7 linked regions of the Nothobranchius furzeri genome follow. The main gene of each other region encodes a partner of the protein of the gene in region 4 in a complex. Links are inferred from orthologs where the notes say so. Each region holds a gene or a part of one and is shown on either strand. Other genes may lie near its edges. The genes, in order: cdc6, samhd1, rbl1, ccna2, cdkn1bb, rb1 and e2f1.

Evidence for each region.
Region 1: the proteins of ccna2 (region 4) and cdc6 are in contact, whole or in part, in a crystal structure (PDB 2CCH), measured with the Homo sapiens proteins. The link is inferred for Nothobranchius furzeri from reciprocal best matches to the Homo sapiens genes CCNA2 and CDC6. Residues at the interface, in NP_001228.2 of Homo sapiens: Met210, Ile213, Leu214, Trp217, Glu220, Val221, Glu224, Tyr225, Arg250, Leu253, Gln254, Glu277, Tyr280, Ile281, Thr282, Asp283, Thr285; in NP_001245.1 of Homo sapiens: His89, Thr90, Leu91, Lys92, Gly93, Arg94, Arg95, Leu96, Val97, Phe98, Asp99, Asn100.
Region 2: the proteins of ccna2 (region 4) and samhd1 are in contact, whole or in part, in a cryo-EM structure (PDB 9HIW), measured with the Homo sapiens proteins. The link is inferred for Nothobranchius furzeri from reciprocal best matches to the Homo sapiens genes CCNA2 and SAMHD1. Residues at the interface, in NP_001228.2 of Homo sapiens: Met210, Ile213, Leu214, Trp217, Glu220, Val221, Glu224, Arg250, Leu253, Gln254, Tyr280, Ile281, Thr282, Asp283, Asp284, Thr285; in NP_056289.2 of Homo sapiens: Lys615, Ser616, Arg617, Val618, Gln619, Leu620, Phe621, Lys622.
Region 3: the proteins of ccna2 (region 4) and rbl1 are in contact, whole or in part, in a crystal structure (PDB 1H28), measured with the Homo sapiens proteins. The link is inferred for Nothobranchius furzeri from reciprocal best matches to the Homo sapiens genes CCNA2 and RBL1. Residues at the interface, in NP_001228.2 of Homo sapiens: Met210, Ile213, Leu214, Asp216, Trp217, Glu220, Glu224, Arg250, Gly251, Lys252, Leu253, Gln254, Tyr280, Ile281, Thr282, Asp283, Thr285, Tyr286; in NP_002886.2 of Homo sapiens: Gly654, Ser655, Ala656, Lys657, Arg658, Arg659, Leu660, Phe661, Gly662, Glu663.
Region 5: the proteins of ccna2 (region 4) and cdkn1bb are in contact, whole or in part, in a crystal structure (PDB 1JSU), measured with the Homo sapiens proteins. The link is inferred for Nothobranchius furzeri from reciprocal best matches to the Homo sapiens genes CCNA2 and CDKN1B. Residues at the interface, in NP_001228.2 of Homo sapiens: Met210, Ile213, Leu214, Asp216, Trp217, Glu220, Val221, Glu224, Met246, Arg250, Gly251, Lys252, Leu253, Gln254, Leu255, Tyr280, Ile281, Thr282, Asp283, Thr285, Tyr286, Thr287, Gln290, Arg293, Met294, His296, Leu297, Lys300; in NP_004055.1 of Homo sapiens: Lys25, Pro26, Ser27, Ala28, Cys29, Arg30, Asn31, Leu32, Phe33, Gly34, Val36, His38, Leu41, Thr42, Asp44, Leu45, Glu46, His48, Cys49, Asp51.
Region 6: the proteins of ccna2 (region 4) and rb1 are in contact, whole or in part, in a crystal structure (PDB 1H25), measured with the Homo sapiens proteins. The link is inferred for Nothobranchius furzeri from reciprocal best matches to the Homo sapiens genes CCNA2 and RB1. Residues at the interface, in NP_001228.2 of Homo sapiens: Met210, Ile213, Leu214, Trp217, Glu220, Glu224, Arg250, Leu253, Gln254, Tyr280, Ile281, Thr282, Asp283, Thr285; in NP_000312.2 of Homo sapiens: Pro869, Lys870, Pro871, Leu872, Lys873, Lys874, Leu875, Phe877, Asp878.
Region 7: the proteins of ccna2 (region 4) and e2f1 are in contact, whole or in part, in a crystal structure (PDB 1H24), measured with the Homo sapiens proteins. The link is inferred for Nothobranchius furzeri from reciprocal best matches to the Homo sapiens genes CCNA2 and E2F1. Residues at the interface, in NP_001228.2 of Homo sapiens: Met210, Ile213, Leu214, Trp217, Glu220, Val221, Glu224, Arg250, Gln254, Tyr280, Ile281, Thr282, Asp283, Thr285; in NP_005216.1 of Homo sapiens: Val88, Lys89, Arg90, Arg91, Leu92, Asp93, Leu94, Glu95.

What each region holds. Positions count from the first base shown.
Region 1 is NC_091747.1:65,956,138-65,959,000, reverse strand, and holds the end of cdc6 (cell division control protein 6 homolog), read left to right. Parts: intron 1-606; coding exon 607-674; intron 675-748; coding exon 749-930; intron 931-1,567; coding exon 1,568-1,708; intron 1,709-2,108; coding exon 2,109-2,201; 3' UTR 2,202-2,363; downstream 2,364-2,863. UniProt on the Homo sapiens protein: Involved in the initiation of DNA replication. Also participates in checkpoint controls that ensure DNA replication is completed before mitosis is initiated.
Region 2 is NC_091755.1:60,840,837-60,844,336, forward strand, and holds part of samhd1 (deoxynucleoside triphosphate triphosphohydrolase SAMHD1), read right to left. Parts: intron 3,391-3,500; coding exon 3,290-3,390; intron 3,193-3,289; coding exon 3,084-3,192; intron 1,817-3,083; coding exon 1,725-1,816; intron 1,618-1,724; coding exon 1,502-1,617; intron 507-1,501; coding exon 367-506; intron 1-366.
Region 3 is NC_091743.1:73,535,670-73,539,735, forward strand, and holds the start of rbl1 (retinoblastoma-like protein 1), read right to left. Parts: upstream 2,801-4,066; 5' UTR 2,678-2,800; coding exon 2,516-2,677; intron 278-2,515; coding exon 144-277; intron 1-143. UniProt on the Homo sapiens protein: Key regulator of entry into cell division. Directly involved in heterochromatin formation by maintaining overall chromatin structure and, in particular, that of constitutive heterochromatin by stabilizing histone methylation.
Region 4 is NC_091741.1:74,293,420-74,297,422, forward strand, and holds the start of ccna2 (cyclin-A2), read left to right. Parts: upstream 1-1,203; 5' UTR 1,204-1,304; exon of another isoform or gene 1,305-1,630; 5' UTR 1,631-1,666; coding exon 1,667-1,873; intron 1,874-2,570; coding exon 2,571-2,829; intron 2,830-4,003. Other genes in the region: bbs7 (Bardet-Biedl syndrome 7 protein), read left to right, coding at 1-70, 180-313. UniProt on the Homo sapiens protein: Cyclin which controls both the G1/S and the G2/M transition phases of the cell cycle. Functions through the formation of specific serine/threonine protein kinase holoenzyme complexes with the cyclin-dependent protein kinases CDK1 or CDK2.
Region 5 is NC_091744.1:57,772,252-57,776,095, reverse strand, and holds cdkn1bb (cyclin dependent kinase inhibitor 1Bb), read right to left. Parts: upstream 2,700-3,844; 5' UTR 2,434-2,699; coding exon 2,007-2,433; intron 1,877-2,006; coding exon 1,761-1,876; 3' UTR 1,746-1,760; intron 826-1,745; 3' UTR 501-825; downstream 1-500. UniProt on the Homo sapiens protein: Important regulator of cell cycle progression. Inhibits the kinase activity of CDK2 bound to cyclin A, but has little inhibitory activity on CDK2 bound to SPDYA. Involved in G1 arrest. Potent inhibitor of cyclin E- and cyclin A-CDK2 complexes.
Region 6 is NC_091750.1:48,268,348-48,271,847, forward strand, and holds part of rb1 (retinoblastoma-associated protein), read right to left. Parts: exon of another isoform or gene 3,474-3,500; intron 2,339-3,473; coding exon 2,223-2,338; intron 1,993-2,222; coding exon 1,826-1,992; intron 1,547-1,825; coding exon 1,401-1,546; intron 1,314-1,400; coding exon 1,209-1,313; intron 1,137-1,208; coding exon 1,023-1,136; intron 948-1,022; coding exon 799-947; intron 706-798; coding exon 675-705; intron 584-674; coding exon 444-583; intron 301-443; coding exon 254-300; intron 181-253; coding exon 110-180; 3' UTR 1-109. UniProt on the Homo sapiens protein: Tumor suppressor that is a key regulator of the G1/S transition of the cell cycle. The hypophosphorylated form binds transcription regulators of the E2F family, preventing transcription of E2F-responsive genes.
Region 7 is NC_091755.1:51,396,350-51,400,605, reverse strand, and holds the start of e2f1 (transcription factor E2F1), read right to left. Parts: upstream 2,801-4,256; 5' UTR 2,686-2,800; intron 2,603-2,685; 5' UTR 1,723-2,602; coding exon 1,471-1,722; intron 737-1,470; coding exon 637-736; intron 1-636. Other genes in the region: znf341 (zinc finger protein 341), read left to right, coding at 3,359-3,389, 3,707-3,817. UniProt on the Homo sapiens protein: Transcription activator that binds DNA cooperatively with DP proteins through the E2 recognition site, 5'-TTTC[CG]CGC-3' found in the promoter region of a number of genes whose products are involved in cell cycle regulation or in DNA replication.

The sequences.
Region 1 (2,863 bases), on a different chromosome or scaffold from region 4:
ACCGAGTGCATGCCGAACCGTAGAGAGATCTGAATGGATCGCGGGTCAATGATGATCCATTGGTTGCACCCCTAGGGCGCGGCCACGATGTACTTAAACGCCTGGACACAGGGGGAGGTGAACGCCGGTATAAATGACAGACAAAGCTTGGGCACCACCCGGGCTGTAAGTCATCAATTATTTACCGCCCAACGAGAAAATTTACCGCCAATGGCGCTCGGCAGTTTACGTTTCCACACCTGATATGACAAGGAGGAAGCAACCAGATGATGAGTAAGAAGATGCCTAGAACCGAGCCTTGGAGAACTCCTGCAATAACCAGGGATGAACTAGAAGAGTGGAACTGAAGTTGAATGTACTGAGTATGGTCATGTTATGCTCTCGTTACTTATTACTCTTCCCAAACTGAATTTGCTACTTGGGGGCTTTAACTTGTTCAAAAGCTCATAAATTTAGCATGTGTCAGTTGTGGAGTATTTTAAGGATTAGCTCAAAATAGAGGAACAGCGCCCCTAGCAAGGCCCTAGTAAATGAAGATTTAGCCTCAAGCCACGAGTCACATCGAAACTTTAGAATGATTAAAAGTCTTTGACCCTTTGCTTTCAGGAGAGCCGTGGAGATGGCCGAGGCTGAGGGCAAGAGAAGGCCAGCAAACCTTAACGGAGAAACAAAGTGTGAGTTTCCTGGGAAAGCTTGGCTCTTGGGAAATGTGGAGAGGAAACTGACTCAAGTGTGCTGTCTTCTGCAGCGGTGGGTCGGGTCGGACTCCCGCAGGTGGTGCGGATTCTGTCAGAAGTGTATGGTGACCGGATGACGTCTCAGAGCGGAGAGTCTGAGGGAGAGAGTTTCCCTCTGCAGCAGAAGCTGCTGGTCTGCTGCCTCCTGCTCCTCACCAGCAAAGGAAAGGGCAAAGAAACCCATCTGGGGAAGGTGAGCCTGATCCAACGAATGTTTAGGCAAGGCAGCTTTATTTCTAGAGCACCTTCCAAACACAGGCAGTTCAATGTGCTTTACAATTATCAGGACATGACATAAAAACACAAACTAAAACACACACAGATAGAATTACAGTCTAGAGCTAAAGGAGAAGACAGTTACATCACAGATTACAGTGGAGACGATGCATGGTAAGAAACGATTCATGTAAAGGCTGATGAGTACATGAGGGTTTTTAGGGTTAAACAACACTAGGGCTGGGGCAGGTCTGAGGTCATGGGGAAGCTGATTCCATATGTGAGCAGCATAGTAACTAAATGCATCTCCACCATGTTTGGTTCTGACCCGAGGTTCTACCAGCTGATTGTTTCCAAGGATCTCAGAGCCCTGTTGGGTGTTTATATACAGGAATGAGATCGGACATATTTTCTGGTCCCATGCCATTGAGTTATTTATAAACTAGTAGGAGCACTTTGTAGTCTATTCTGTAGTTTACTGGTAACCAGTGTAGGGATCTAAGAACAGGAGTGATGTGCTCCGTTCTCTTAGTTCTTGTTAAGACTCTAGCAGCAGCGTTCTGAACAAGACATCACCTCGGCACCAGAGGAATTCAGAGGTTTTTGTGTTTCAGCTCTATGAGGTGTACAGCCGTGTGTGTGGTCAGAGACACGTGCCAGCAGTCGGGCAGGGCGAGTGTCTGACGCTCTGCAGCCTGCTGGAGAGTCGGGGAATCTTTGCCCTCAAGAAGGCCAAAGAGGCTCGTCTCACTAAGGTACAAACCTGACAGCTGGTCGGAGAGGACACACACACACACACACACACACACACACACACACACACACACACACACACACACACACACACACACACACACACACACACACACACACACACACACACACACACACACACACACACACACACACACACACACACACACACACACACACACACACACACACACACACACACACACACACACACACACACACACACACACACACACACACACACACACACACACACACACACACACACACACACACACACACACACACACACACACACACACACACACACACACACACACACACACACACACACACACACACACACACACACACACACACACACGTGTCAGCTGTTTGAGCAGAACTTGTTTGCTGTTGCAGGTGTTTCTGAAGATTGAAGAGAAGGATGTTGAGAATGCTCTAAAGGACCGAACGCTGCTGGGCAGCATCCTCTCTGCTGGACTAACCTCATGATGTCTTCTGTTAGATTTTTTTCTGTCAGTTTGGATCTTTACTTTTTTATTCTCTGAAGCAGAAGCACTGTTCTACTGGATCGCTGTGCTGTGAAGAGATGGTGTGTTTTCAGATTTTTGAAAGTCTCTTTTGATGCTGTAAATAAACATTCACTGACACACATCCTTTCTTTACATTTATCGGGGGGGGGGGGGGGGGGGGGGGGGTCTCTCAGAACAGAGCCAGGTCACCCCATCAAGGTGAATCAACCTCTGGAACTCGTACTATTTTTAGGAGTGCCTTGACTCAGCCCCCTCACCAGAAAACTGGAGCACTGCAAACACTTACCTCCTCCATAATATAAACCTAAAATGTTGGTGAGAGGTGTGTTATCAGAGGAAAAATGGTGTTGTCTCTGGTCTTAAACTACTCAAGTTGTTTTTCTACCTTCCCAGTTTGTTAAATGTCTGACTGGACAAGAAGTACGCCACCAAGTTGCCTTGTATTTCAATCATCCACACTTGATTTACCCATAATGCATTAGGGGAAATTCTGTCTCCTGCAGGACCTCGTCACAAATCTGATCAGGTCTTAGACAATGCACAACTTTTATTCTTTTCTCTCCTGCAAAGTCTTCTCCCAGCACCAGCAAATTATTATTGAAGATCTTCACCTGTTACCCT
Region 2 (3,500 bases), on a different chromosome or scaffold from region 4:
CCAGAGTCAACATTAGACAATTACAGCACCAAACAGGAAAAACAAACAAACACAAAGTGATGCATCTGTAACTACAGAAATTTACTGATTCAATCAACACCTTATAAATAATTTTATAACCTTAACTACCCAACAACATTTAGAAACTGCAAACATTCTGAGATACTACAGGTAAATAATCATTACACATAAAAGTCAAACAAAACTCAGAGACAGAACCACCACTTTCAAGTTTAACTCAACAATGCTACATATGTTAATCAATTAACCCTTCTTCCTTACCACACATAGATCACTTCCCAAACTGAACCCACCCGGTCAAATAAACCAAATGTGTTGAATTGTTATGAGAAGACAAACACAAACCTGGGTGACGATTAAGGGCTCGTTTGGCTGAGTTTGGCCCAGATACTTGTAGAGGTTCCTGCACAAGATATCTCGCAGGATCTTCCTCGCCTCCGTGAGCTCCGGATTGGAAGAGTTCAATATCTGTTCAAATATATTATCTAAAAGGCAAACAGGGAAAATCACAAAGACATCAGTGATCAAAGTAAAACAAAGTTTCAAATAAATACCTGCCACAAGTGCACTACTTCACTGGAGAATTAATGGGATACTAAGCAGTTCTGCTTGCTTTTGGTACCCCCCTAGTGCCCATTCTTAACTCATTCACTGCCAATGACGACTAAAGTCGTCATTTGCATTTTTTTTTACTGTGTAGGCATCGGAATGAGCCCCTGCACTGTGAGAACAAACGTCTCAGCTCTAAAGTCAATCTTCATCCGCATACGTCACACGTCACGTGATCAGGAAGCAGAACATCCATGTGTTAGGAGATCGTTTTGGGCCGCTGCTGTAAAAAAAGGCGCGAACCGGAAAAGCTTCTGCCAATCACAATTCAACAACGAATTATGAAAGAACGGATAACGCTCGAAATGCGTGGATTCTTCCTAATGTAAGAGGTGAGTTTCCTCTTTGTTTTGGTTGTTTTGGCGTTGACATCATCCTAGGGTGCAACGTTCTGAGACTCTTAAAAAAAAAAAGTAAAAATGGCGAGAAACTGGCAGCGAAGGGCTTGACGGATCAGGAAACGGCTGGCAGCAAATGAGTTAATTAACTGTGTTCAAAGCAAAAGTGAAACTCATCTCCTAGCTGTGCGTTTGTCTTTTTAACACCTTAATCTAACAGCTGAAATGTTTCCTCAGCCTTCATTAGTGTCTACAGGAGCGATTCATCACTAAATCCAACACATCAGCTGTGTTCATGATCTAAAACATGCAGGAAATGTGCTGGAAGCAGAATGCAGTGCCAGGTATGTCAGCTGAATTTTAGGTGGCAGCCTGGCACTCTGAAGTTGCAAGTGTGGTATTCTGGCCACAGAGGGCAGTGGGGTCTGGGTGGCTTTTCATTAACCCTGTAAAGGGTCATTTTAGCACATACTGGCTCCTATTTCTAGTGCAGCTTTAAAGATACGTTCTTCTAATATGATGCATTTACTGACCAGTCAGCTTGGTGTAGGCCACCATGTCTTCTACAGCTGTGGAGATGGTAAACATCTTCCCATTCGAACCTTCAATCTGAATGTGTGGATCTGCTTTTAAAAAGGCCTCCGTGACCCTGCAGAAACAGGTTTAACACATCAGTGCTTCTGTAAACAGCTCTGCATAAAACACACAACAGTAAATCCTGAACTACAGGGACCTGCAGGATGATGGGGAACTTACATGACCTCTATGATGTTGCCCACTTTGTGCTGGTAGGCTCTTCTGTGCAGACAGTTTCTGGTGTGAAACATGTCATACAGATTTCCCACTTCCTGTCACATGAAACAGATAAAATTTCTATGTAAAAATAAAAAAGTAGTGATAGCAGGGTTTCTTCTTTTAACCGAGTACTGATACTTAAATTTGAGTACTCACTAATACCATGTACTGATATTTTATATTTATTTATTCTTTATTTAACAAGTCCCACTGTTGAGATTCAAGGATGGTCGTGGAGAAGAAGCAGCAAAAATACAGTTAGAAAATGTCTCAGTTGCTCAGTTAAAATTGTATACTTCATAGAAAGCAGCTGCAACACAGGGGGTGTGTCTCGAGTGCAATCTGATTTAAGGAAATAAGCTCGGTTTATTTCCAGTTTTCCTGCAACCTGTTTCATGAAGAAGGAGCAGAGTGAACGAAAGTCCAAAAGATATGAGTAAATGTAGTTCCACTCCTAAAAACTTCAACCTGTTAAATGTTTACTTTCATTTGACACACTACAACATAAATAAACTTTAGGTCTACTTTACTGGTGAAAAGCCACCCTCTGATTGTATTTTACCAACATAAAACAACTCAGTTACATTGAAAAACCAAATCTTCTAACTAACAGCCTCGTCAGCAATGTGTCTCCTGACATTTTAGGTTTAACTTAGAAACTACTTCCTGAGAAAGATACTTTTTATTTAAAGAAAAGGCGATTCTCTCCTCCTCTGTTTAGGTCTGTGCTGCAGGGTGTTATCAGAGTTCGGCTTATGTTTAAAACGCGATGCTGCTCACCAAAACAAGAAATCAAATGTATCTTTTTGCTGAGGAAAATGACTGAAATAAGAACATATAGTAACTTTAATCTGATTACTAGTTTGAAAATAGTGACATTAAAACTGTTATCACACAACCTGGATGAGGATGAAAACAGACAGCGTTGGATTACTTGTTACTGAAATATGAACATAATTTACTGTCTTTTTGTCACCTTTGTTCACCTGGAAATGCCTCCACACCGCTGACATAGCTCCTCCTCTGCTACTCAGCTGCTTTAAGTCGCGCTGCCGTTAAATGGTTTGATGAGCAAGCTACTGTCTACAGCTTTTTCTCATTTTTAATTGGTTTTTATTTATTTTCTGGTGCATTACCTCCACTTATTGGATTAGTGCTTTTGTACACAGATTAATGCTGTTTGTTTAAGGGAAACAAAGCTCTTAGCATGCTGGTATTGGTGGCGTAGCATGGGAGCAGTTTTACGAGTACAGGTACATGCATTTGGTATCGGCACTGGTGCATCCACAGGAAAAAAAAAGAATAAGACTAAACCATCACCTTATCTCTAGTGCAGATCTGCTTCTGTCCCTTGTCCACACACACCCTGGCAAATTTAAGGAAGCGCCGATAGTCAAAGTTGTTCTGGATACCCAGCTGGTGGCAGTCCCTGAGATATGTCCAGGGGGAAAAGAGGAGTTATGAAATAAAATTTAAAAAACCCCACAAATTTTGAAATTAGAAAGAAATCTAAACGTGAGCCCAACCTGGCAAAATAGTCCCACTTGTCCACATCGATGCCGTTCCTTTTGTTGGCAACAACCTCATACAGGAAGGACTTGTCTTCAGGACGTCCTTTGTACGGCCACTAAACAGAAACACAGTTTACTATCTCGCCACATATGTTGAAGTAACAAACTGCCACTAGGCGGGTCTAAACTTGGAAGACATCAAACAATTTTGATGAAACCTCCTTTG
Region 3 (4,066 bases), on a different chromosome or scaffold from region 4:
AGGCGACACGTTAGCTTGGACCGGATAAGAGCATCCCTATTTAAAACTGCATTTGTTTTCTAGAAACCCCTAAGAACAAACCAGAACACAGAGATACCAGAATAAGGATCGTAGAGACAAAACATGTGTTTATAGCGCTGAACCTGAGTTTGGAGCAGCGAAGGATCCTGGTGAGCGAGACACAGTTTCCCTCCATCAGCCCTTTTCCCACAGTGGGAATGGACCCCTTCCTGCAGGCAGCGTACAGCGAGCAGGCCAGCCAGTGGACCACATCCCCCTGCAGACAAACAGCAAATCACTTTAATTGTCTTCACTCAGCATAAACAGCAAACTGGGAAACTAATACTCCACTATTTCCAGTACACAGAGCGACTCAGCAGATACAAGAATAGCTGCAGAAACAGCAAACAGAACTACACGGAACATGACTGAAAACCTATGTGCACATTTTAATTACTATGTTTGATTTTTGCACGCAAAATTCTGCCATCTTTAATTAATGAGACAGCTGAATGGTCCAATTATTTATAATTCAGAAGAGTTTAACGACTAGCATTTTATCATCTATTGGAGATATGTTTTTATAATACAGACAGACTATTAGTATTTTTGAAGGTCAATTTCTCAAACAAATATTTTTCATTAATAAATCAGAGAAGCAACCATTTCTGAATGACAGATAAACTCAAAGATAAACGGAGCATCTGTTTGGTTAGAGGCCTTATGTTTAAAAGCATAACTGAATCATTTGAGGTTAATTCAGTTTCCCCCTCTCCCCAGGTCAAGAGTCTGGGTGTCATCCTAGACAGCACACTATCCTTCCAATCTCATATCAATAGCATCACACGGTCAGCTTATTTCCATCTTCGTAACATTAATCGTCTTCGCCCCTCCCTTGATGTCCACTCTACTTCTATTCTTGTCCATAGTCTGGTTACATCGCGTATCGATTATTGCAACTCTCTTCTCTCAGGCCTCCCTCAGAAAATCCTCCGTAAGCTCCAGTTGGTCCAGAACGCAGCAGCACGCATCGTCACTAAAACTCCCATCTCTCATCACATCACCCCCATCCTCAAACAACTCCATTGGCTACCAGTGCACACCAGGATTAACTACAAGATTCTCCTTCTCACCTTCAAGGCCATCCAAAACCTCGCCCCTCACTACCTCACAGATCTCGTTCACATCGTCACCTCGTCCCGTTCCCTCAGGTCCTCCTCCTCCATTCATCTCTCTGTGCCCTCCTTCCGTATCAGCACCATGGGGAGTAGAGCCTTCAGCGGCACCACTCCCAAACTCTGGAACTCCCTTCCCCCTCTCATCAAGAACATTAACTCATTCACAGAATTCAAAAAACAACTCAAAACCCACCTCTTCATTACCACATATCAACTTTGAATTTTAGAGAGCCTTGTTTGTTGATGTTTACGTATGTTTACTTATTGAATGATTTGTGTTTTTATTCTGTACAGTGTCCTTGAGTGACCAGAAAGGCGCTTTTAAATAAAATGCATTATTATTAATAGGTAACGATGTAAACAAAGCCAACTAGCATCATTAGCTGTAGGAGGTTAAATTGTCAGGTACAAACTAATCTTTCATAATCTGTACCTAGATTAGGATTAGAATCGTTTTGAATAAAATAACCTTGTAACACCTCTCTGTGTGAACGTTTCTTTCCGTGAATCACCTTTGACCCCTGAGGATATAATCAGTGTTTACACCCATCCCTCAGACAGAAGTCTTCTAACAAACACTGCACAACTTTTGTTGATGTCCCGTCATTTTAGACGATGCTTCAAACTGACTGCACTACAGTTGTCTATGTTCCTGTCACACGGATTCAAAGGCAAAAACAAACAAACAAACAATTCTGATACTAATCAGGGTGAACAACAAAAATCAGGATTATATAGTGATTTCTGATACGATGTTAAAAGGAAACTGCTTTTAATTAAGATGTCAATAGTATGTATGAACAATAAAACTGATATTAATTGAAAAAGAACATCTGCTGCTTTGTTATCAGACTAAAGAAATCTTAAACATTGTTATTATTGGTCAGACCTTAAATAAAGCCGATCCATTTAAATAAAACGGATTTATTATTCACTCAGATGTCACTACCATGTTCTACCCATGGTTTTACCACAAATAAAAGACAGTCATAGTTGTTTTACGGTAAAATATATTTTACCTGGAAAAAATATTTCAATTTGATTATTTTTTATTATTCTTATGTAATTTCAGGAGGATTTTAATATTTGTTAATAATCAGTCAGTCATAAACTAAAAATAATTGTTTTGTTTTGTCCGGTTTTGTCTGACGTTTGCAAATGCCGTCGATCGACTGCTCGACAATATGTTTCTGTTCCTGGATGGAAGATTAAAAACAGGTCAGTTGTTGAATCCCTTTAATCTCAGTGTGTGTCAGCACTGAAATCCAGTTCTATGTAGGATGAAAGTTGTGGCTGATTAATTCGACAGTAACTTGTTATTAAAGAACATTATTCACCTCCAGAGTGTATGTGTTCCATATGGCTGTGAAGTTGTCCATAGCTTCAGTAGCGGTCTGTTCGTCCATGTTCAGCTCCTGACACAATGTCTCCAAACTCCTTCGGACTGAACTTTCCTCCATCCTGCCCGACTCGGAGTCCGACGACTCGTCACCCCGCATTCGTTCCAATGTACAGCTACAGCATCAAGTTTTAAACAACCCCCAGAGCCAGACGTTAACCAGCAAAACGCTGCCCTCTCCCAAACACCAACAAACAGGCTCCACGAGCATCCCACTTCCGCCTACAGTTCCCACAATGCAGTGCGTTGGCGCGAAAACCCTGCTGCTCTGACCAATCAAAGTCAAGACATGCGAAGCCCTCTCGCCCTCTTGCCCTACCCCTCTCGGTCTCCTTCAGGAGGTCGCTCCTAATTAAAACCACCTTTTTATGGAGTTACAGCTGTCTGAAATAATTAACTTTAAAAAGTAAAATTACAAAATATGCCGAGAAGTCGAGAAAAGAAGTATGCAATAACAATTTGGTAGCAATTCGTTAACTAACGTGCAGAGGGCAGTGTTCTGTTATTATAGAATTCCTGCTCATCTAATCAAAGGTTTAAAAAAGTGATTTTTTTTTTACAAAATACAATCCACAAAATCGGATTGAGTCTTAGAATAAAACGAATGTTACAAGGTGACCTTTTAAGTGTTCTTATTCCTATTGTTGTCTACAAAGGGAATGAGTTAACATATTATGTAGTATACCCTATAAAATACAATTTTTAGAACGATGCAGACTGCAGAGCCTGCCAAGAATTATTGTCTTTAATACTCTAAAATGTTAATGAAATAGCTGTTTAATAAAAAAAAAACAGCAATGCTCAAAACACTGTTAAAAAAACTTTGTTAAAAACACCAACAACATATCTATTTTTCTCTCCATGTCCAATTTGCAGGTTGGGGGCTATTTGTAGCTCTTGAAGTGCTTTTGTTTGGCCCCCACTTGCATTTCTAGAATCATGTGGCTCCAGATCCACCGGTTGCAAAACCTCTAAAAACCCATAAATATAACACAAGCTATCTTAATTTAAAGTAAAATAATTATTTATATAAGACATGTTTGGTTGTTTTATAGTAAATGGAACATTGTCCATTTAAAAGAATGAATGAACACAAACTCAAAACATTTTTGCTCAGATTCAGTTTATTGATGAATTAAGAGACAATAAAGTCAAACCCATAACCACATCTTTTTAAAAATATAGTGTAATAACAGCATAAAGGATGTTCACAGCAACACCACCAAATTTGTGATAGTCTTCATTATAAAAACAAACCTCTAACCGATGGTCTAAAGTAGCATTCTGCTAAACCCAACATACGTAGAAAGTTACCAGACTTGATTATTACAAGACTAAACACACCCTTAAAACCAGCTTTAAACTATTTTATTTCTAACTTCAAATGATTTATTGTTTAAATATTACAGTTAGTTTAAAGAGAAAGTCACCCCCAAATCAACTTTTTTTCTGATAAACTATATAAATGTGTGTCTAATCATGCTGTAGA
Region 4 (4,003 bases):
ATTTTGGATGAGTCTGCTAACCTTCTGGAGGAGTACAAGAAGCAGCCAGCCCACCTTGAAAGGCTTTACGGTAAAGCTGGAGTAAAAAGAACTAACTTTCACTGTTGATTAATTTTTGTTATTGTTGCTTTTTGATTTTCACTTTATAAAGTTTTGTGTGTATTTCTGTTTTCCTGCAGGAATGATCACTGACCTCTTCATCGACAAATTCAAATTCAAGGGCCAAAATGTGAAAACAAAAGTGTCCTCGTTGTTGGAGATACTTGATAATTACGAATTAAAGTCACTCTTAGACTTTTTCAATGAGCCATGATGCCATAATGGCCAAAGATGATCTATCTCTGTGACGGTTGTTGTGTTGCAATCTTTACATGACGATAGTTCATCTTTGAGACTGTGTTATTTTGTTAAATTTTATTTAGAAATAATTTACTCTCCCTTAAGAGTTGAGTAATAAATTACTTTTGATGTATTAAGGCGTACTGCAAATGGTTAGGAGAATACTGCAATACTCTTATTTTCATGCAAGAATTTGATGGAATTTGTTACAGTTATAGTATGTGTGTCAAATGCTACTCAATTTAATATCTAATCTTTCTGTATTAAACCAGTCCTTGTGCAGTAACTTGTCAGTAAAAAATAGCTAACACACCAATTGTTTTCAATTTTATTCCATATTATTTACATCTTAATGTAATGTACCTCATGCTACAACAGATTCGTCAAGAAACAAGTTGTTGCTGTATACTGGGTTAGGTACTTCCATGTGGATTTAAGTTTTATACACAAATTTATCTAATCAGCATAAGTGGTCATTCAACCTAATGTAAGAATAGGACACATGAAAAATAAAGCCAAACATAAAAATACAATAGTATTTAAACATTTTAAATTATAGTCTTATGAGTAATTTCTTAAACTAAACATATGTGCAAGTCTTTCAGTAAACAAGTATACTGGTGGACCTAGAAATGACCTCAAGCACGAGCCCTAGGTTAGGAAGACGTCTAAGTATGTTGAAGTGCTTCTAATGATATAAATATACATAATTGTTGCAGCAAAGATTTTTATTCCAAATGCGTTAACGTTGTTGTTACTCGCGTTTAACTTTGTATTTGGGATCTTTTTTTCAAACCGGTTTTAAATTTGCAATTAAAGTTTTTTGTCCCTCCTCGCCTCCTACACTTGTAATACGTCAGTTCCTTCGCGGTCTGTGATTGGTCGGTTTCAATCATCGCGGGCTACTTGAACTCTCTAAGTGTTTGCATGAAAATGCATCGACAATAGCTGCTGTCATTGTGCAGGTTTGTACCGGATACAAAACTTATAAATAGAATGGCAACTTAGTTTTTCCTTAGTTTTGCCAACCCGATGTCAAAGGTGCACGTTTGTTTTTATTTGCTTTGTTCTAGCGCTGCAGTTCCAAGTGCTGTTGCCATCTCAACAGTTTAGTTCTGATTCACGATTCAGTCTGCTGTGCAACAGCTAAAGCTCGCTTCGACATAACTGCTCACACGCCATCTTTTTTAGCCTTTTGATTTGTAAGCTTTCCTCTTTTTTTCGCTCTGTGAGGAAGCACACTACGGTTGACCACTGCTTTTTTATTTATTTGTTTTTTTGTTAAAAAAAGTGCGGAGAAGTGGATTCTCTCTTGGAGGGTGGAAACATGTCAGGAGCTAACAGGCAAGGAAATGCGGCTAGTGAGCTCCCCAACCATGAAAACATGCTTTCAAGGCTCAGAGGGTCGCTTAAACACCGAGCTGGTGAAAACCAAGAAAACCAGCCTCCCAAACAAGCCGCCAACAGAACCGTGCTGGGAGCCCTGCAGAACAACCATCGGAGCAAAGCCCAGAACCAGCGAGGCGCTAAACAGGTAACAGGCTAGCAACCTTGGCCTAAGCTAACACCTAGGCAGGCTCTGAAGGCAACTAAAATGGTTACATTTGGATGCAAGTACGTTAATTAGCTGCTTTAAGCGCCTTTTTAAAAATGAAGTAAAATGACATGTTATGTTGCTCTGTTAAGTTTCCCCTGCTTTCCGCCATTTTAATAACCTTATAGCCCTTGAGTTGCTTTGTTCTAAACACAAATGTGCTTCTGGAGAACCTCCCGTCTTCATTTACTGTATTTAAGTCAATTTACACAAGATTTTCTTTGCATTTACAAGTATCCTGTAACCGAGACTTAACACAGAGGTAAAATTAATTTAGCATAATCTGTAGACTTCTTTTATTTATTTTTTTACACACCTGCATGTTTTTCGTGTTCTAATAAAGGGCATACATTTTGGGTCCTTCCTAATACATTTTGCTATTGTAGAGTTAAACTAATTAATCACCAGCTGGTCTGAGAAGAGAAGTTTTTGAAATACTAATTTATTACCTTTTTAATGTAGTATTAATAGTTAATAATACTTTATAATATATTGCTTCCACTGAGCCTCACATTAACAGAAATGCAAAGAAATTTGCTATATTTGAATCACATTTTCCACAGAAGTTTCTAATTCACAAATCAAGTTTTGGCAGATGTCTGTACATTACAGATTTTTTTTTTTTTTTTTGTTCCAGGAAACATCACAGCCCTTGGCTTGCAAAAATGAAGATTTTAACAAAATCCTTGTTGAAAGACCTGTTAAGCAGCCAGCTTTCCAGATCCATGTGGATGAGCCTGACGTAGCCTGTGACAAAAAGCATGTGGCTGAAACAAACAAAGCGAAGCCCACAGTGGAGGAATCTCCTCTGGTTGTCAGTCATGCTGTGGCACGACTCCGACAGCCCCTGGCAGTGATCGAGGTTCCGGTTCCGTTAGCCATGGATGTCAGCTTTGGTGGGTTAATATTCAATTCAATTCAAAAATACTTTATTAATCCCAGAGGGAAATTGATTGCTGTAGTAGTTCAGTTCAGTTCACTTTATTTCAAACATATACATTCACCAACATTTCATAAAATCATTCCACGCAATTGTTTGAAAAGGAGTAGGGAGAAGTGTATACTTATTTAGCCCTACCCCTCAGGTTTACATCCTCATCAAAATTTAAACAACAAAACAGTTACAATGCCTTCAAAAAAAAAATAACAATAATAATAAATAAATAAAATTATCATGTTCAACTAGAACTACATTTAGATTTTCTAATTTGTAGAATAGATTAAACATCAGTTTGCATGCCGTCCTGGGTTAATTGCATTTTCTTCATTCTTATACTTATTTAACATTTCTTTTTTGAGTTTTATTTTAAACTGGTTTACATTACTACTATCCTTTATTTCTTCTGTTAACTCATTCCAGAATTTAACGCCCGCTATTGAAATAGACATCCTTTTCAATGTTGTCCTTACTCTTTGTACTTTTAAATTCCACTTCCCTCTAAAATTATACATAAAAATAACTCAGAATAATAATAATAATATATAATATTAATAATATTAATCAAGTCATCAAAGAGTTATTGTATATCACAATGGCTGTTGGCAGGAAGGATCTCCAGTAGCTGTCAGTGTTGCAGCAAAACTGAAGAAGCCTCTGACTGAAGACACTCTTCCATTGTCGGGCAGTCTTGTGAAGAGAATGCTCAGGGTTGTCCATCATTTTCTTGATTCTCTGGAGAATCCTTCTTTGCATTATCTCCTCCAGCGGTTCCGAAACTGCCGAAACTCTGGCTGAGTCCTTGAAAAGGCTTGGAGTTCCTCCATCCACATTGCCCATTATGATCGATGGAAGAGATGGTTTGAATTTCCTCTTTCTCTGTCTCCGTCCCGCTCTGCACCCACGCTTCTTGCGTTTTAGCTCATTTGGGATTTGTGGCTTCAGTTGAGGTATTATTTCAGTCTTTCCAATGTTAATCAGTTGCTCCCGATTGTAAACCAGACGGTTGCCATGGTTACGCATCACAACATGCTCAAAGTGAAAAAAGCTAAAAGTAGCAGTAAAAATCCTCCAAGCTTCACAGCACCAGAAACAGAAAAGTGTCCAAAAAATAGTTTTTCTTGAGAAACTAG
Region 5 (3,844 bases), on a different chromosome or scaffold from region 4:
AAGGAAACACTCGAACATTAAAACGTAGCTGAGGCGCACAGAAAAACTTCAAAAAAATTGTTTCATAATATTCCAGGACTCTGATGCTAAAAGCACCTCGATTAAAAAATAAATATCAGAAAATCTTAACAGAATTTTTACATCTCCTCGTCGTTTAGACGAGTCCAGCCCTTTGCAGGGAGGCGCTGTAATAAATGAAAAAACAAATTAAATTACGATACGTGAGCTACATTTGTACCATTCTTCACTGCTGCATTAGGAAGCTGACGGAGTGAAGGAACACTACAGAAACGGTGAGAAGCCATGATTTTTTCTTTTTAAGTGTAGCAATTAAGGACAGTGGCAAATGTCACACAGTCTGGAAATAAAAATAAAAAACAGCATTTTGGAAACCATCACTGCAATTCTTCAAGTCAAATGAAAATTCACAACTTTTTACAAAAAGGATTGGATTTAGAATTAAGTTCCTTATGTGCTACACATGGAGACATATTTATACCTATATATATATATATCCATCTTTATTAATTTATTTACACACAGGTAGTAACAAAACGAGCAAAAAAGGGAAATAAAACCTAATTGCACACTGCTACATCGACTGCTGTTAGAGGCAGTAACTTATTTTTAATTGAGTGCCACAACTTTAGTGTTTCTATTCAGTGCTTCAACAGCGTCCTCCTCAGTCCTCAGAAGAGCCGATATGTTTCTGATGCTGCGCAGATCCTCATCCCCAAAAAGCCAACAAACAGTCAGGCCTCCAAAAAAATAAAATAAAAGATGCATATAAAAAACAACACCCTCGCAAAAAAAAAAATGCTCGAACTGTGTGGAGAAGGTGGGAAAAATAAGAAAAAAAAAAGGTTAGTATTAACATTTTTGAAAAATCATCTTTTAACAATTCATGGAAAAAGTTTCACTTTAATTATTTTTCATAACTAGACTGTTTATTTCAAGTGTGCACCCCCTATCAGTTTCCTATTTTTAAAAAGACTAACAAGGTTAAGCTAAACTGACCTGTTACACACACACACACACACACACACACACACACACTTATGAAACTAACAGCTATTTTGTCTTTTAGTGCAGTTCTTTCATCATATTTTATAATAAAATCTTTCAAGGATTTACTTTTGAACAGAAAAACATCCTCATATTGAATCACACCCGGTTATTGTTCAAATTTCTGTGCTAAAAAGAAACATTGATGTAAGTGTTCTCATCTGCAGCCTAAACAGGTCCTAAACCACTGTGAGGAAGATCTCATCGTGCCCATCCCTCCTCCCTTTACTTGAATTCGGACCTGCGGGTCTCCTCAGCACACTCCTCTGCCTGCAGGGACAGCGTGCGTGCGTGTGTGTGTGTGTGCGTGCGTGCGTGTGTGTGTTCAGAGACCAGCCCCTTCTCTGCTCTGCTCCGAGGGCAGTGGCTGCTGACGTGTTACTACTACACTGTTGTTCAGCCCTTGTTTACAGTTTAGTAGAAAAGCTGCAGCAGTGAGACGTTAAAGCCTTTTTCTCTCGGCAGAGTTGATCTCATTGTGATTAAATGAATATAAAATGTTGAAATGGTTACTAGAGTCCAGCATTTTACTTACTGAAGATAAAATAAGCGTGCAGCACCGTTAAAGCTACTCGATAATATGTGGAGAGAACGTGTTATATAACCTGCTGTGGCTCAGATCACAGCTGAGGAACAGAAGCTACATGCGGTTATTGTATACGGATGAGTTTAAGCCTCACCGTTTTCTCTCGGGCTCACGTCTGTCTCTTGGGACTGGGCTTTCTGGGTGTGTGTTCTACTGAGTGGCTCAGGTTCGGACAGCTAACCTCGTCTGGGCTGGTATGGGACCTCTTGTTTTGGGTCGGAGGCTCTGCGAACAGCAAAGAAATTCTGTCAGGGAAACTCGGAGCAAAAACACAAGAAGAGGGTTATAGATGTGCTTCCTGTCGGGTGAAAGCCGAGCTCCGGCTCTAAAACCTGATTAGATGCAAATGTAGTACCGTGACTAGCAGGTCTCTTCCTCAGCCCGGTGCACTCCGTTTGACCGTCGGGCTTGCTGGTATCCCCGCTCGACGCCACCAGGACGCAGTTATGGTTCCCGTTTAGATCCACACTGGTGCTCCTGGGGCAGACGCCCTTCTCCCTCCGCGGCTGCCGGTGGTAGAAGTCCGGCATCTCCTCGGAATCCACTAGTTCCCATTTGAACCTGCCGTTGCTCAGTGGCGTGTCACTGGCGAAGTCGAAGCCCCACTTGGCAGCGGCAGCCTCTTTGAACTCCCGCATGTGTTCGTTAAAATCCTTCTTTAACTCTTCGTGATCCACCGGGCCGAACAGACTTCTGCAGGCAGACGGCTTCGGGTGCTCCGACACCCGGGCCTCCGTCCGCTCCAACGTCGGACTCCCGTTTGAAACTCGAACATTAGACATTTCCCCTCCCCCCAATAAACACGCTATTTTCAGTCAGCCGGGAGCGTCCAGCTGTCATAAGAAAAACACGTCGCTGAAAAAAAAATACAAATAAAAAACAACAACAGCGGTATCTCCAGGTCACGGGGGAAAGATCCGACGCAGCTCTACACCTATGCCATGCATACGTCGAAGTGGAAGACGTTAACTGCTGCGGGGCTCTGGAGTCGAAGATGGTCTCCGAGAATCATCAAAACAAAGTGCACAGGAACTGAGGACGCTGTCAGTTTCGCTCCGCTCAGAGAGAAACTGCAGAGAAACCTCAGCACCCAATATGGCGATTGAGGAGCAGAGCAGTGGTGGGGACTGAGACGGGAGGGGGAGGGGCTTATGATTGACACACAGAGCTATTTAAACCCGGCAAAGGACGCTCATTGGTTAAGCGACACCTGGCCCCACCTACTTTATTTAAAGTGACAGTAGGCGTGTATGAGTGGGGAAGTCGGCTCATATTTTTCCATCACGTTTTACTAAAATAAATATTTATGTATGCTTCTTAAAAATAGAAAACGTATTTTTGTGTAAATGACTACATCACACAAGCTTTATAGTTACACATCTAAAAAAAATACTAAATTTACAGGTAATTTGCAAAGGAGTCAAAACCATTATTTTTCTAAACATCTTCAGTGTGCATTACTCTGTTTTTAATAGTTGATTTATTCTAAATATAAGTATTAACCAAATATTTACCAAATTTAAAAAAAAAATCCAGCATCATAAAGCAACACACGTATGCCAAAGACACACTACAACGGAGTGTAAAACAAAACTAATAAGCCAAGAACCTGCAGAAATCAAACCTGCCGTGGGTCGAGCATTGGTTTTTACATCGCAGCTGAAAAAATTCACAATTTCACATAAAAGTCAGCATGCACTCCCAAAAGAGAGAATTACATCATTATATATATATAATACAAATAATTTAAGGTAGTTTCTTTTTGTCAATGACTGCATGAAAACCTTTTTTCTCCTTTTGTTACTTTTTACACAAACTGACAGAAAATAAAACACCAGACGTAAGGCTGATTTTGGCCTCATGTTCCAAAATAAAAGTGCAGTGTTTAAACTGTTTTGTGAGAAATGATGCAATGTACTTTTACTGGAAAAAATGTTTACTTAAAAGGGTCACAGCAGGATAAGTGGTGCAGATGAGGCCGGCTACAGCCAGCCATTAAAACAATAGCGCCATCTTGTGTTCACTTGACTAAACTATTGCAGCACAAAATCAGCAAGAAACCAATCTTATCAAATACTTTAATACCACACTTTTAAATAAGCATCACAGCTATGCATTTACATATTTATATGTCCATAAAAACAAATACTTATAAAGTAAAAGTCCATCAAAATCTTCTCACTGACTGCCAAA
Region 6 (3,500 bases), on a different chromosome or scaffold from region 4:
CCTCATTTAGTAAAAACACAAAAAGAGGAACATGCCCTCTGACATCAGAGTAAAATTAAATACAAACTTAAACAGTAGTGAACAACGTGGCCATCGGCGCATGTTGGTTTTAAAGTGACTCCTTCCTGGATTCGGCGTCTTCCTTCAGCTTCTGCTCCTGCATGCGACTCCGAGTGGAGCCTGCACACAACAATCCCACTGGATCAATACCAACCCTTTTCAACGGCAACAACAGGAATATAAACACACTCACTCATCTCTGTCAGCTTCTGTATCAGAGTTGAGTCTTCTCCAGGTTTGCTGTAAATTGCAGTAAAGACACTTTAAATCCTCCTAACTCGTCAGTCAGCTGTTTAATATACCACAGTTACTTTTCTTTATGTCCAAAATAAAAGCAAACATGTTTGAGGCGCAGTTACTAAATCATGGCTGTGATAACCGACCTGCCGTCAGTTTCGTCTTGCCCGTCGATGTCGAAGCGGAGCCTCTTCAGAGGTTTTGGAGTAGATCCCAGATCCAGGGTCCTCTTGTGGGAGCGATCGCTGCTGACCATCTGGTTGATCTTCTGGAAGCGATTGGACAGCTGCAGATGAGGACATAACAGGATTAATGAATAAGTCAAGTGTGAGAGAGGAAAAAAGGAGTTGCAGCATTCTGTGAGGGTGACCATCTACCCCAAACGATTCCCCGATTGATACCAGCATTCTGCAAAGGGCACGAACAACACCATAAGATGTTTTAAAATACTTCAAACATTTGAAATGAATAAAATTCAAATCACAAAAATGAAGCACCGACCTGGAGCGAGGTGTAATAATACCCGGGGACACGCGAGAGCTCTTCATGGGAGAAATGTAAACGTTGTTGCTCCCAGGAACACGCAGAGGCGAGTTGGGGAACTTATAGGGACTGCGTGGTATTTGTGGGATTGGAGAGAGGGGGGGCGGCTGGAAAAAAATATCGGTATTAAAGCAGTAAGCTTTACTGGTCATAAATGGATCCAAGCTTCCCTGTGGACTTACCCTGGTAGATGCATACTGCAGGATGTTGGTTTTTAGCTTCTGCATGAACACCTGGTTGTAAAAGACGATGATGGAGTCGTACTGGCCTTCAGTGATCAAGACGTGTTTAAATGTCTGCAGAGCACAGCAGGTTTAATAAGTGGTGAATTAACAGGAAGTTCACTTCTACGGATGAAGCTGCACCACCTCTTGGTTGGTGTTGGGCAGGTTCTTGTACGCCGACACGATGGACTTGAAGCGCAGATCGACACTCTTCACTTTGCATATGGCATACATGGCTGACATCATCAACTGCAAAAGGACAAGCAGGTGATTTAATAGTAAAAAGAAACAAGAGGTGGAGACGGGAGGATTAAAGTCATGCTGGTGTTGAAGCACCTGGTCCAGGTGATGGTCTCTCATCAGCTCGTACTCATGCTGCAGAGTGTGCTGGAACAAGGTCCAGATGATGGGCTCCAGTTCAGGGTGAGAGGACAACAAGTAGGAGCAGAGCGTCTTTAGTCTGGTGTACGCCAGGCAGTACACTACAGAGGAAGGGGCAGAGAAAACACGTGTAAACTACAGCGTTAACATTCAACCTCATTTCTTTGAGTTCAGAGAGGAAGGCTGTTAAACGAGCAGTTGGGTTCATGCAAACGAAGGAGAAAAATAACATTTCTGCAAAAAATGATTTGAGTTTGTGAAATTCTAAAAATATTTTTATAGCAAATCAACTCTTGTTTTACTGCTCATCTCAACAAATATTTCTTACTAAATACAAGACAACCCCTGAGCCCTCAGATCAGTAACTAAAATTTACTTACATTTTTTATAGAAGAGGCTTAGGGAGTTGGACTTGGAATGTCGTGGAACTTGACCAGGAGCTTGAGAGGCGGGGTTGGAGGAAGCCACGGGGGCAGACTTGCACACGGGCTTCACGGGGGACTCAGGAGGCGAAACCCACTGGCCGGCTCGCATCGGTGACAGATATCTGCTCATGCGTCAGTGCAACCAGTGGAACATGTTAGATAACCTTTCAACACTGATAAGTGACATTTCCATCCCAGGAAAAACCCAAACACTGATGCGCAGCAGGAAACTGCGAGTGAGTCATGGAGTTCGGTGAGGCACAACGGTTTCACAAATTTAACCCAAAAAAAAAAAGGGTTTTAGGGTCTGAGATGAGATCTTATTTCCCCGACTGGTTGTAAAGTAACTTACAGGTCTGCAGCGGTGTGGTTGTGCTGCAGCGGCTGGCTGAAACTGCCGGGAGTCTCCACCTGCTCCTCTGCTCCACTCCCACGTTCCTGTTTCAGGAGCTCAAACAGCGGGGATCCCTGACAACACAAACACACGCACAGATTTACTTTAATCCTACGATTTATTAAAACTGTGAGGAATAAAAACACACCGGAGAGGTTTTCACATCGTCACTTAAACCAAACCACAAAACACACAAAACCTGTACAAATGTGTGCATTGTTTCATCATCATTACATCTGAGCTCAGTCTTCATATCTATTTTTCTTTAATCCGCAGCCTACACAAGCAGCCTGATGATCTGATCGCCAACCCCAACCCAAGTGTGAAAAGGAAGTGGTTATACGTGAACTTTACACAAAATTTCCCTCGCAAAAATAGTCCATATTACACGTCTCTGGTCTGACAACACAACTGTTCCTCACTGAATATTGCCACAAGGACACGCCAAGTATGTGACACAGATACAGGAACATCCAGCGTCAAGCTTGATTAGATCTGAAAACCTGCTAAACTGAATCTGATGGAGCTGGAACATCCTGACGGTTTAGGGAGCGTGTGACAATAAACAAGCACACAACTCAGATCAACACCTCTGGGGAGGGGGATCCTGGAGGCTTATTACCCTATGATAAAAAAGTGACTTCACAATACACATGTGACTGTGTTCAGACATGTTTGGAACATTCTTTGTGTCATACTCGCATGCTGCACCCCGCTGACGTCACCGATGTTTCGAAAACAAAATCTGTGGCTCTAGTGGGTAGCGTGACATACTAGGTTTGGTAACTCATTATCTTAAGAGTTTTGTCAACAGCTGATTTGTGTTTCTAGTGCAGCTGCATTTACTTGTCAACAGCTGATTTGTGTTTCTAGTGCAGCTGCATTTGCTTGTCAACAGCTGATTTGTGTTTCTAGTGCAGCTGCATTTGCTTGTCAACAGAAATATTTAAATTTAATTTTTATTTTAAACAAATCATCTGAAGGAGGACTTTGACCCCTGTGCAGACTCCTCCCTGAGCCACAGAGTTCTCTGAGCCTCACACGTGCAGCAGTGGGACGTCTGAGTTACAGTAAAGGAGGAGCAGAGAGCTACAATGAGCTCACAGGGGACGCTGCGGGAACATACGAGAGAACGAGGGAGGAGGAACCACCTGACAGATCACAGAACTGAGAAAAAGAGCTCGGCTCTTCCACCCGAGGGACAGATATCATGTCTTCTGTAAAGGAATACTGATA
Region 7 (4,256 bases), on a different chromosome or scaffold from region 4:
ACCTAGTAAGACGTCTGACTCTCGTGCAGAAGATCTGGGTTTGATTCTGGATGTGAACATAGTATAATTAGAGTTTACTTTTTACATTAATGGTATATTTTTTACAGTAAGATGCCCAAATTTTTATTTGAGACTCGCCGAACGGCATTTGAAGTCACAGAAAACCAAAAACGTTTCATTTTGGAACAATTTTTCAAGCAAGGGAAGGGAATGATCTGAGCATGCAGGAGGACTGACCCATCTTAAACCTTTGTCGGCTGTGCTGAAGAGAAAGGTACAGAACCAAATTATTTAATTAATTAGCTGCGCGTTCTCCTGTCCTCTGTCCTCCGGGCTACACACACACACACACACACACACACACACACACACACACACGGGACTGTCTCAGCTGTTACTTTCGTTAAGGAGTGTGCACGTACAGCATGCGCGCCTCGTGCACGAGCCTACTATTAAAGCTGCTGTTACGTTTTTGGCCTGAGGGGGCAATCATGAGCATAAAAATTCACAAGTCCGTAAAGTCCCTTTAAGGCTCGTCGTCGCTGTACTTTACTTTCATTCTAAAGAAAAGCACAGTTCCTTAAATTTGAAAAATCCACTATACTAAAACTCAAAAGTGCGTTTGTGGGTGCATACCTCTGGGAGGAGCAGGCGTAGAAGGCGGAGCTTGACCCGTGGGAGGTTGGGTGGTGCTGATGTACTGATGGTCACTATCCAGGTCCAACTTCCTCTTTACCTGAAGATGGAAGCATGGAATACGTTATATTTGTGTGTTACCTAAAGATGCACGGAGTCAGAACGACATCCTGTGGTCAAATCTGGGTACTGCAGTCCGTGAATCAAAACAAACGAGTCTGTTCTGAGCCACTGTTGCCAGTTACGGCACGGCACCAGAAGATTCTAGATGATGAGCAAAGACGAGTCATACGCGGTAATTTGACGAGTAGATAAATATATTTTGCTGTAGTATCGAAGTTTGCTTGTAATCCACCGTTAGCATTGTTAGCTCAATGTTAGCCTCTGCATTAAGAACACAACAAAAAGAGGCCGTGGCTTCTTCGGGGTTACATGAAATAACGTCGCTCTTTTTACTGACTTCCATTTTGTTCCACAACGCCGCAGCATCATGCCGGCCGATGTCAAATTACAAATGTCGGTGCAGACTTGGCAAACCTGCGGGCACGTATGATTGGCTCTGGAACCAGGAAGTACTGAATTGGGACAGATTGTAAACAAAGACTACCTTCCTCTTTGGTTTTTAAGTTAAACTAGGAAACCTGACGACCCCATAGCCGGCTGAGAAGGAAATCTGTTTTTAACGTAACCGTTCTTCCAATACCACTCAGATGTTAGACTGTTATGGGATTATTTCACAGTAAAATTATTGTTGCACCTTGAAGAAAATGCTTAAAAAGCAAAATATGACATGAAACTTCTCATTTAACCTCATCTCACTCCCACTCTCCTCACCGGAGGTCTTCCCAGAGCTGGCCGCCTCTTGTCCTGGGCCCCCACGTCAGCGGGCCCCTGTGGCGTGGCGAACAGCAGGATTTCCCCCGTGCTGGTCGGGGCTGCAACAGGGTGGAGTCCCTCATTGCTGGGGCTGGTGATGATGACTACCTGATGGTCCTCGCCCAGTTTTATACTCCCAGAGTTCAGCAAGGTCTCAAAGTCAACCAACAGATCCTCCGATGTCTGCCCTGTTATCAGAGTCTCTGACATTGCACTGGGTCACCAAGTGCTCCTTCACTAGTCTTTGGGTGTGCTGGGAGGGGTCACAGGCTAAGATGGTGTACTCTAAAAGCACATCAGCACCTGCTGACATTTGTAGTTCTCTGTAAATTCGTGGAGCAGGAGTAAAAAATGCTCAAACGTCCCAAATTGGAACAAGTTGTTTTCCTCACAGACAAACATTTATTACAGTTTAACTCAAAGAGTGATAAATAAACAGAACTTGCCAAATCAACTTCAGACCGAACGGAGAAACTGGATGTTCTGCCAAACAGGAAAATGACAGATCATTGCTAAATTGCACAATATCTCTACGCCATGAGGGTCTAACGCGGGATTAGCACCTAAAACAGGGTCGCGAGACCCTGCCGCGGGTCTGAATAAACGCTAAACATAAGGACGCCAGCGACGGAGCGAGCAAATCTTTTGTTTTCGTGCCTCCTGTCAGCAGAGTTCGGCCGCGGCCTGAACACACAGCTACCGACACGGCTAGCAGGCTAACTCATGGCTCAACAACAAAGCCTCGGAATAGTTCTCGAAGGAGGCGCGGAACGAGCCGTTCCCAGCCGTAAAACTACCACAATCACCAAACATCCGAAACTGGGACAACGGTTAAGCTACGGAAACTTTAAATCAGCTTTTCAAAGTTAGCTAACAAAGCAAAATACAGAGAAGTCGAACGGCATCGCCGTGACTCAAAAGCATCATTGATTGGGTATTTATGAAAACGTCTGGCTAACAAAGACCTTATAACAGTTACTATGTTGAGTGTGGAAATGTAGGGCAGATTAGCATGTTAGCTTTAGTCATTAGCCGCAGTTCTTCAGTCCCCTCGTTTTGTTGGGGCACTGCAGGAAGCAGTCAGACAAAACTGGAATTAAAAAAACGAAACAAAACGGTCAAAGTACAAACGCATGCTTTAAAACCGCCGCCGATGCACTTTCAGCTGCTCACCAGGGCTGCGGTTCTCTCATGAAAGTGTCCACCCGAGCCCGATATCAGCCGTTATTGTTGTTATTGTCCCAGCTGATCTACATCTAAACAAGCGTTGGTCGGTTTTCGCGCGAAATCCATTTTGCCGCGAAAGTTGCACGTGGGGAAATCTGACGCTCGCCATTGGCCAAAAAGATGCACATTCTTCGAAGAGAAACCGGAGCTTTCTGATTGGTGTAAATGAGTGTCCGTCATGTAGACGAGCACAGACTAGTCGATATGAAGATGCGTTCAGGTTCCACGGAAGAACCTCAACTAACTAGCGTTTACAATCATTTCGCTTAGATCAAAATCAACATATCAATGATACATTGATCTGATGTCACATATTAAACATTTAATAACATATATTAGTTATTGAAAAGCCGTGACCGAACTTACAAATTAAAGTCCTTACGTGACTTGTATTTTATTTTGCATGCTATTTAAAACATTTGATGTTTTAGCTATTTTGTTTTAAGACTGTCAGGAATGTCCACATCATATTATAAACAGTTTATGCAGCTCTCTATTGAACAGTATATTTTTTCAAACACGAATTATTCGTAAAAATCTCGTCGAATTTACAGAATAGAAATGTCCTTTAGGTAGCAGCCCTTGCTAATCGAGCGCCTATCTCTCAGAAATCTGCAAGATGGCGCAGGCAATATTCGAGGTGCTTGAAGGTAGCAATATTTTTGTTAACTACATAGCTACCAACATGTTTACATGTCAGAAAATATTTTTTATAGATAAACATGTTTAGAGCCATTTTAAAATGTGGAAATAATTGTGAAACTATGCATAGGTGTTTACTAATGTTACAAAAATCAAACCACCCTGCTAGGTTGGTATGTACATGTAAACAATAACGGTGATTAATTACACTACGTATGTTTAATAGGTAGTTGATTATTATTGTGCTACTAGATTATCAAGCAGAGCTTTTAAATGTAAACACGTGCATTGTTTCCTCCCCCCTCTGTTGTTTCACTCTCTCTAGGCATGGACAACCAGACTGTGTTGGCTGTTCAGTCTCTGCTTGATGGCCAGTCTGGAGTTCCTGACCCAAATAATCAAAATGTGTCAACCACGCCCACTATTCAGTCTATGGGTAAGCAGTAGGACGCACTAGCATATAAGTTAGGCTGTCATTGCTTTCTTTTATAATTTATTTAGGGCAAGGTGCATTTGGCTGTTGGTTAAAATAAAAATAATGACAACAACCACTTTAATAATAATAATAATAATAATAATAATAATACAATTCGAGGTTCCTTTTTAATAAAAGAAAAAGGGGAAATAGCAAAGGTAAAAAAAACGTAATAAAAGCAGGGACAAAAATGCAGCTGGACACAAAATGGATTTTTTAAAAGATGAGCTTTTAAAAATGATTGAAGAGTAGAAACGGGTCGATGATGCCCATTTCATGAGGAAGAAAATCAGAGGGGAGCATGGAAAGGTAGAACTGGATGTCGTCTTTGTAGCAGAGGAAATCGATATTAAAGCAACACGTTCCTGCTTCTGCTTCCTACTGGCTGAAATGGTAAATG